Linked DNA regions of Mus musculus. The protein of the gene in region 1 purifies or fractionates together with the protein of each later gene. This does not show direct contact. Links are inferred from orthologs where the notes say so. Each region holds a gene or a part of one and is shown on either strand. Other genes may lie near its edges.

What was found. Proteins that work in one complex are often made in the same cells at the same time.
Region 2: the proteins of Tmem192 (region 1) and Ctsd purify together in Homo sapiens (affinity purification with western blotting; 3 studies listed by BioGRID, with this or other methods). This does not show direct contact. The link is inferred for Mus musculus from reciprocal best matches to the Homo sapiens genes TMEM192 and CTSD.

The regions. Positions count from the first base shown.
Region 1 is NC_000074.6:64,946,339-64,950,073, forward strand, and holds the start of Tmem192 (transmembrane protein 192), read left to right. Parts: upstream 1-846; 5' UTR 847-968; coding exon 969-995; intron 996-3,735.
Region 2 is NC_000073.6:142,385,489-142,389,233, reverse strand, and holds the start of Ctsd (cathepsin D precursor), read left to right. Parts: upstream 1-1,406; 5' UTR 1,407-1,429; coding exon 1,430-1,497; intron 1,498-3,615; coding exon 3,616-3,745. UniProt on the Homo sapiens protein: Acid protease active in intracellular protein breakdown. Plays a role in APP processing following cleavage and activation by ADAM30 which leads to APP degradation.

The DNA of each region.
Region 1 (3,735 bases):
ACTCATCCGTTGCGATGATGCACACTAGCGATGCCAGATTTCACTGTGTGAAGGCAAGTGGATCAGGAACTGAAGGCCCGTTTCAGTGCACATCAATTTCTAGGTCAGTGTGAGCTACTTGAGACTTTGTTTTAATTTTTACAAAAATGAGGACTGGGCAATGAATGGCTTTTGCTGTCAAGTCCAGGATTCACATAGTGGAAGAACTGACTTAATCTTGGGTCAAGTGTGGCGGCTCATCCGAGCATTCCACTAGGCAACAAAGACAGGCGAATCTCCGAGGGTTCAGTCTGGTCTACATAGTGAGTTCCGGAACACGTAGCGCTATGTAGAGAAACCCTGTCTCATAAAAACAAAACTGAAACCAAAAATAATCAAAGGACAGAAAAAGAAGAGATGGGGAAGGGGAAAACAGAAACAGAATACCTTAAAAAAAAAAAAAAACTACAGAAATTTCCTGTGGAGACATCTGTAAATCGTGTTATAGAAATTGGAATCTATTCTAATTAAGTCCCTCTACAGGTGGAATTGCGATTTTTACTGCGTCTTTTTCCAAACAGAGCTATCTATATTGTTGCAAACAAAAATTGCGCCAACAGAAATAAGTTAATATTCTAAAGAGAAGTAGTTTACTTGGTTTAAATGGTTGCTCGAGAAATTCATCCTTTAATTTCCAAATCTCTGATAAATGGATGAAGCAACAGTTTAGGGGAAACCCCAAAACAACCGCCTGGGCTACACTGCAGCTCAAAGCTGGAGTCTGCAGGGGGGGCCACGCCCCTGGCTGCTGATCGGCTGATCTAGGTGGAGGGGCGTGGCCTTCGGCGGCCGGGGCGGGGCGAGCGCAGAGTGGGTGTGTCCGAGGCGGGGCGCGCAGGTCCTAGTAGGTGCGACTGTCCCGGGCCGTCGGCGCCCGGGCGCTGGTGGAGAGGTCAGGCTGGCGGGGCATCGGCCCGCGACGGCGGGTCATGGCGGCGGCCGGCCGGCTGGAGGACGTGAGTGAGGCGCCGAGCCCTGTCCCCGCCATTCGGCTTCCTGTGCTGGGCTCAGGGGGCGGAGACTGCGGGCTAGGAGCTAACCAGAGCCGCAGCGGCTCGACCATCGGGGACGCAGGGTGCGGGGTGACGCGACGGGCGGGGACCGCGGACCCCGGGAACGTCTTCCTGAACGATCGGAGGGACACGGCAGGGTGGGCGTGCGGGACCCTTCACTCGGCGGCTCACGTGCAGTGCGCGTCTTTGGTTCCGGAAATGGGAGCTTCACGTGATGCGAGCTGGCTTGATCTGTCCTTCCTGGGAGAGACTGACAGGCGGGCTTGCAAGCCCGGGTGACCCGGCTTCTGTGGGCCCTCCTGCGTTGGTCGGAGAGCACCCGGAACTTGGAGTGACTCTAACCTCCAGCATCCCTCGGGCGGACTTGTAGCTCTCATCTCCCGGAAACGCAGATTGGCGCATAACAGTTATCATGTGCTGTTTTGAATGTAGGCATGATAGGAACAGTGCTTGGTTGCTTTAAAAAAAAAAAGTATTCGGTTGCCCAGTTCATGATGTAGCCATTATAGAATAATACAGTTGCAAAAATCTTGAGTTTGCAAGCTCATTAAGACACTGATTTATTTGAAATTGGGTGTGGGGCGGGGGAAACACTTTGGGAGGAAACATGCGTTTGTTTCCAGAACAAACTGTTTTGTCCAGTGGCATAATACAATTCCTGCCCTTGAGAAATGCAAGGCTGACATTATCTTAGCACAGTGACCTGAGCTAATAACTAATAAAAACATTATCATGGTCTTAGTATAAAAGTACATCAAAATAATAATAATAATAATGATAATAATAATAATAATTAATAATAGCAAGGTTCCAGAACTGTAAGGGCTTAGATTCTTGTGTGTTTGGGTCCTGCAGTCATTTATTTATTTATTTGTTTATTTAAGACTTGCTATGTAGCCCTAGCTGGCCTGGTACTCATTATATAGCCTAACCTGGCCTCAGATTTGCCTATCTTCCCTGACTCAACCCATTTTAATGCTAGGATGATGTAGCTAGTTACATTTTCTTGATGAAATATGTTTCTAACAGCAGGACTAATCTAGTTATTTTTCAACTGAGAAAATGGGAAAGCAACTACTACTTGGAAACTTAATACTTAGGCCTCTCATGGAGGGCAGTCTTGTAGCTGCCCTAACCAGACTAATCCTGGCACTATGTCATGCCATATGGCCACCTCTACCTCTCTGCTCAGCTCTGGTCCTGTTTACCCCCTTGTCTGCTGGCTGAATCCCTCACCTCTGATTTCTTCTCCCAGAATCCCTTTCTCTCCTGGAAAAGCCACCCTCCACTTCCTGCCTAGCTCTTGTCTCTCCTCTCCTTATTACAGCCAATCAGATACGATTCTAGATCAGATGGGGAGAATGAATATTTACAAAATAGAAACCCAGTAATGGGCTGTAGAAATGGCAAGACCAGGATTCTGCCAGCATTTAGCTCTCTGCTGGTCCAGAATTAGCAATTGGAAACACAGAGACACACCTTCACAGAATGTACCCCAACTTGAATATGCTGCTGTTTCCTTACCTGAGATCTGTCGTCTACAAACGGCCTTTTGTTGTATGACTACCATCAGACCAAGAGAGGGAGAGGGGAAATATTTAAAGATATTCCCACATGGATTTTTGTTTTTTGTTTTTTTGTTTTTTTTTTTACAGGCTCATACTAGGTAACTCAGGCTAGCCCCTGGCTTACAGTAATCCTCCTCCTGAAGCCTCCTACATGCTGGGATTATAAACAGCACATGCCACTATACCTGGGTCCCAGTAAGGCTTAATACAGCATAGACATCAAGTCCCCAAAGGAAGCAGTTACTGGGGGAAGAAAATGAAGAGACAGTATTGAGGTCAAAACAATAGCTGAGTTCTTTGGTAGTAACTCACTCGATCATAAGTCATGGCAATGGGTTGGGCGAACGTGGTAGAGTTCTTGCTCGTTTAGCATCCACACAACCCTGAGCTCAGTCTTTAGCACCACATAAACCAGGCATGGTAGCACACACCTGTGGTCCCAGCACTGAGGAAGTAAGGGGAGGGAATCTTAAATTCAAGGTCACCCTTGGCCTTAGGGAGTTACAGACCAAAATAGAGGAAGTGAAGGAATGATTTGAGGTTCTGGGGATGTAGTTCAGTGTTAGAGCAGTTGTGTAACACACATGAGGTCCTAGGTGTGGGGTGGGGGGAGACTTGTAAGAAGATAGAAAAGTTGATTGATGAATTGATTGAAAATGATTCAAGCCAGGCAGTGGTGGCTCACTCTTTAATCTCGGCACTCAGGAACTAGAGGCAAGTGGATCTCTGAGTTGGAGACTAGCCTGGTCTACTTAGTGAGTTCTACAGTAGCCAGGGTGACAGAGACACCTTGTCTTGGGGAAAAAGAAAGAAAGAGAGAGAGAGAGAGGAAGGAAGGAAGGAAGGAAGGAAGGAAGGAAGGAAGGAAGAACATAGAAATAGCAAAGAGAGAATGAAACTTCTAGCTGAACTTTGTAGAGCTGAAACTTGCCCTTTTACTAGTGGAGAAATGAGTGAAGGAGACGGTGGCGTTTGCTGTGATAGGCATTGTAGGTGGGGAGACAAGTAGGCATGGTGTAGAGATGGAAGGAGTTTCCTGAGAGCAGTTCCAGGGTGCAGCGAGCCTGGTGAAGCATTTGGGTTCTGCCCTGAGGGTAATGGGGAAGTACTCACAG
Region 2 (3,745 bases), on another chromosome or scaffold:
CCTCCAGTCATGCCGACACACATCTAATGGATGTCTCTATTGGCACCTGAGCACCCTGCAACACTATTTATGGCAGGGCTGGGAGAGCCAGCATGGTGCCCCAGAGGACCTTTCCCATTGCCCACCCATGGTCCAGCAATCATCTCTAGATAGCAACTCTAGGAAGCAAATGGCAACTCCAGGGCCAGACCCTGTCTCTTGGGCTACCAAAGAATAGTCTTAGATTCAAAGGAGTAGAGGGTCAGATTCCAAGATCTTAGGGCAGCTCTCGCCCTCACACCCAAGCTTTAAGCAATGTGTGGAGTGCTGACTGTGGAGGCAGGATCCAGGCTGTGGTGACCCACGTGTAGCTATTAACACTGACCCTGAGTGGAGAGCCTTGGCAGAGGTCAAGTGCCCAACTTGATGTAACTTGATGGGAATTGTAGCTTTGAACCTGGGGAACCAGAACAGCTCATGTGTCCATGTGTAGAGTGGACTTAGAGGCATCCACCTCCTCAATACAGGTAGAACATGTCCAAAAGCGCTCCCGGGATCAGACCCTGGCAAGGCTCCTCTGCGTTCCTGTCCTTGTATGGACACCACCTCTCAGAGAGGACATTCCCCTTAAATGCCTTTCTGGGCTCAGCTCTCCATGATGGAGAGCTGGACTCTGCCTCTCTCAAACAGCACCCAATTCATTTGCTGACACCAAGCAGGGCATTAAAGAGTGAAGTAGTTAAGACCCAAGTGGCGATTGCAACCCTGGTCTCATCTCACTGTACACCCTACCCCTTGTATCAATAGATGCATAGTCCAGGACTAGGCCTGCAATCAACATTGCTACATTATGGAATGTGCATGTTAGGTGTTCCAGCTTAAATAAAAAGGGTGTTGCTCTGGGGAGATGAGTAGGTAGTGGAGCTTTGAAGAGGGTGAAGTTTGCTGGTCCAAGAGTCCAGAGAGGCTCCAGGGAAATTCTCAAGGAGGAACAGAGCTGAAAGAGAAAAGGCTTAGGTTTAAGCTGGCATCCAGGAGAGGGTCAGGGCCCAATCAGACAAAGACCACATCCTGGTAGTGGGCACCCCAATTATGCAAAAAAGACAGATTAAGGGAGGGGCGGAGCTGAGGGCAGGATCCGCCCCTCTGGATGCTTCCGGGCCTGCCTGGTCTTCCTTCCCCCACGTGACCTGTATCCAGTCATTCTCCGGTCCCAGGAAAGTGGGCGGGCGCGTTCCCGAGAGCCGTGCGTAGGCCTGGAGTAGGGCACGCCTGCGCCCGGGCAGTGTTGGAGGCGGGTTCGGGTCGCCCCGCCCCTCGCCCGCGTCTCACGTGACCCGTTGAGGGCCAAACAAGCGGGTCAGCTGACTCCGCGGGACTGCGGCGTCATCCTGCCTATAAGCCGGCGACCTCTGGCTTTAAGCTTTGCTCTCTTCGGGCCGCCGCGACCATGAAGACTCCCGGCGTCTTGCTGCTCATTCTCGGCCTCCTGGCTTCGTCCTCCTTCGCGATTATCAGGTGAGGACCCGCTCTGGGTCCGGAGATGCGGGGCTCGTCACCTGGAGTGCCGCGTGCTCCGGCCGTGCTGGAATGCACCTGTGCACCCAGCGCAGCCTTCCTCAGGGTCCCACAGACTATGGGGCGAGACACTCAAAAGGCAGGGGTCTCCTGGGCCCCTCTCCACTCCTATGACTCCTATGGTCGAACAGGAGGGTACAGTAGGGTGGCCACAAGTGGGTCTGACTCCAACCTCGCCTCTGTGTGTGTGTGTGTGTGTGTGTGTGTGTGTGTGTGTGTGTGTGTAGCGGGGCGGCCGCTTCTGAGGAGAAGTGCTGCCCCATGGATAGGATTCTGTTGAACCCAGCTGTGGAAGTTGGAAAACCTAGTAGGCCCTTGCCCCCCTGAACTTCCTCAGGCCTTTCCTTTTAAGGGACCCTGTTTGACAGCTGTGCACTGGTGCATAGCCCTAGAAGTTTACTCAAAGATGATCCCCCCTGTCCTGGGTGGTGAATCTCTCCTCCTCCCTCCTGAGTTGCACAAGTCCCAGAGAGAGAAGGTATGGAGTGGCCCAGTTCAAATACCTTGGAGCTGAGGTCTACCCCACTGGGGACCAGGCCCTTCTCAGGCCCGTGGACTTGGCCTTTGTGCTAGATGAGGTCTTGGTGGTAGCCCGTGTGTTTTCCCACTCTGTGAGTCCCTGGTCGTGGCAGGTGGCTGAGGCCGTAGGCTGCGGGAGTAGAGCTGGCTCTGCCGGCTGGGCACCAGGGTTGGGTGGGAAGGAGCCCAGTCTGTAGGCTGCAAGCTGTGGGTGGGTAGCCTCAGTGGAGCCATTGTAGGGAGTGGCCTAGGCTTGATCCTGCCCTGGGCTTGCCTGCCCTGCCCTCAGGCTTCTCTTCTCTGGGAAGAGGTGTTGTGGACTCCAGGATCCCTGAGACTAGGCACCAGAAACAAAGCCACACTCTTAGGCTTGTTGGCATGTTTCCTGACCTTTGCAGGGTGTGTGCCTCCCCTAAGCCCCAGGCCAGAAGCCTGCCTCTTCCAGCCCACTACTCTTAGGCAAGACTCCTATGTCTCTCAGAGCATGCACTGTGCATGCCAGGAAAGGTCAGCTGTGACCTTGGCTACAAATCCCTGGGCAGAGAAGTTTCAACAAGTGATTACAGATCAGCTCTCCTTGGGAACAGGAGCAAACTGGGGGTGGGGGGTGGGGTGGTGGTGGAGAGGTGACCTGGAGGGCAGGGCAGGGACCCCTCTCCCTCTGCTATCTAATGGTGGCGTCCCCTATTTAGTTGTCTGCATCAGGGCTGCAGGGAGCATATAAGGGCCTTGAGTCTGTGGTGGTAGGGCATGTAGGTTTCTTGGGTGAGAGTTGCCAGATTGTGTGCAGGGATGGCTAGGGAGAGCATGAGGAGTTGGTGTTGAAGCCTCTTGGATGGTTAGGGGAAGAACCTCCAGGGACTGTCCAGGATGATAATGTCACTGCAGGCCTGGTAGGGGTGGTTGGTGGGGCTCCTTTTTGTAGAGTCCACGTGGGAACCGATGTGGCTAGGGGCCAGGTTCAGTGGATCAACCAGAGTCCCATGGTGCACCTTGCTTTGGATGCACCTGTTCCTCCTCCTCCTCCACCTCCTCCTGATGTAGGATTGGGTTCACCAGGGCACCAGGTACAAGTGCCTGGCCACACCCTAAACAGAACCCACTAGCCAGTAACCCAGGTAGGCAGACAGAGCAAGAGCTGGCCCAGTATGTGCTGTTTGTTTCACTCTAGGGTGACTGAGAACCACCTGACTGGGGTGTGGTTGGTGAGGGAAAGGGGTGGGCACACTAGCCTATCCTTGGACATGAGGAGCGAGCTTCTGTGACTGAACCTGAGGTGTCTGTGGTAGTGATAGGATGTCCTTAGCTGATTCAGTGGGTCAGTGGGCCAGTGGGCCTATGGCTTTGGGGCAGGAGTTTGTGACATGTTGTGGCCATTTTGAGATATTTAATTTGCTAGAGGCACCTAGGTGCATGCCTGGCTGGCAGTCATTCTGTACTAGAGGGCTGCCCTGGCCCAGCCTGGGGTATTTTGGGGTGGGAGGTTGGAGGACACAGCAGTCAAAGCTGGGTGCTAATACCTCTGTCCCATCTTGACAGAATCCCTCTGCGCAAGTTCACATCTATCCGTCGGACTATGACGGAGGTGGGCGGCTCTGTGGAAGACCTGATCCTCAAAGGCCCCATCACCAAGTACTCCATGCAGTCATCGCCTAAGACCACGGAGCCA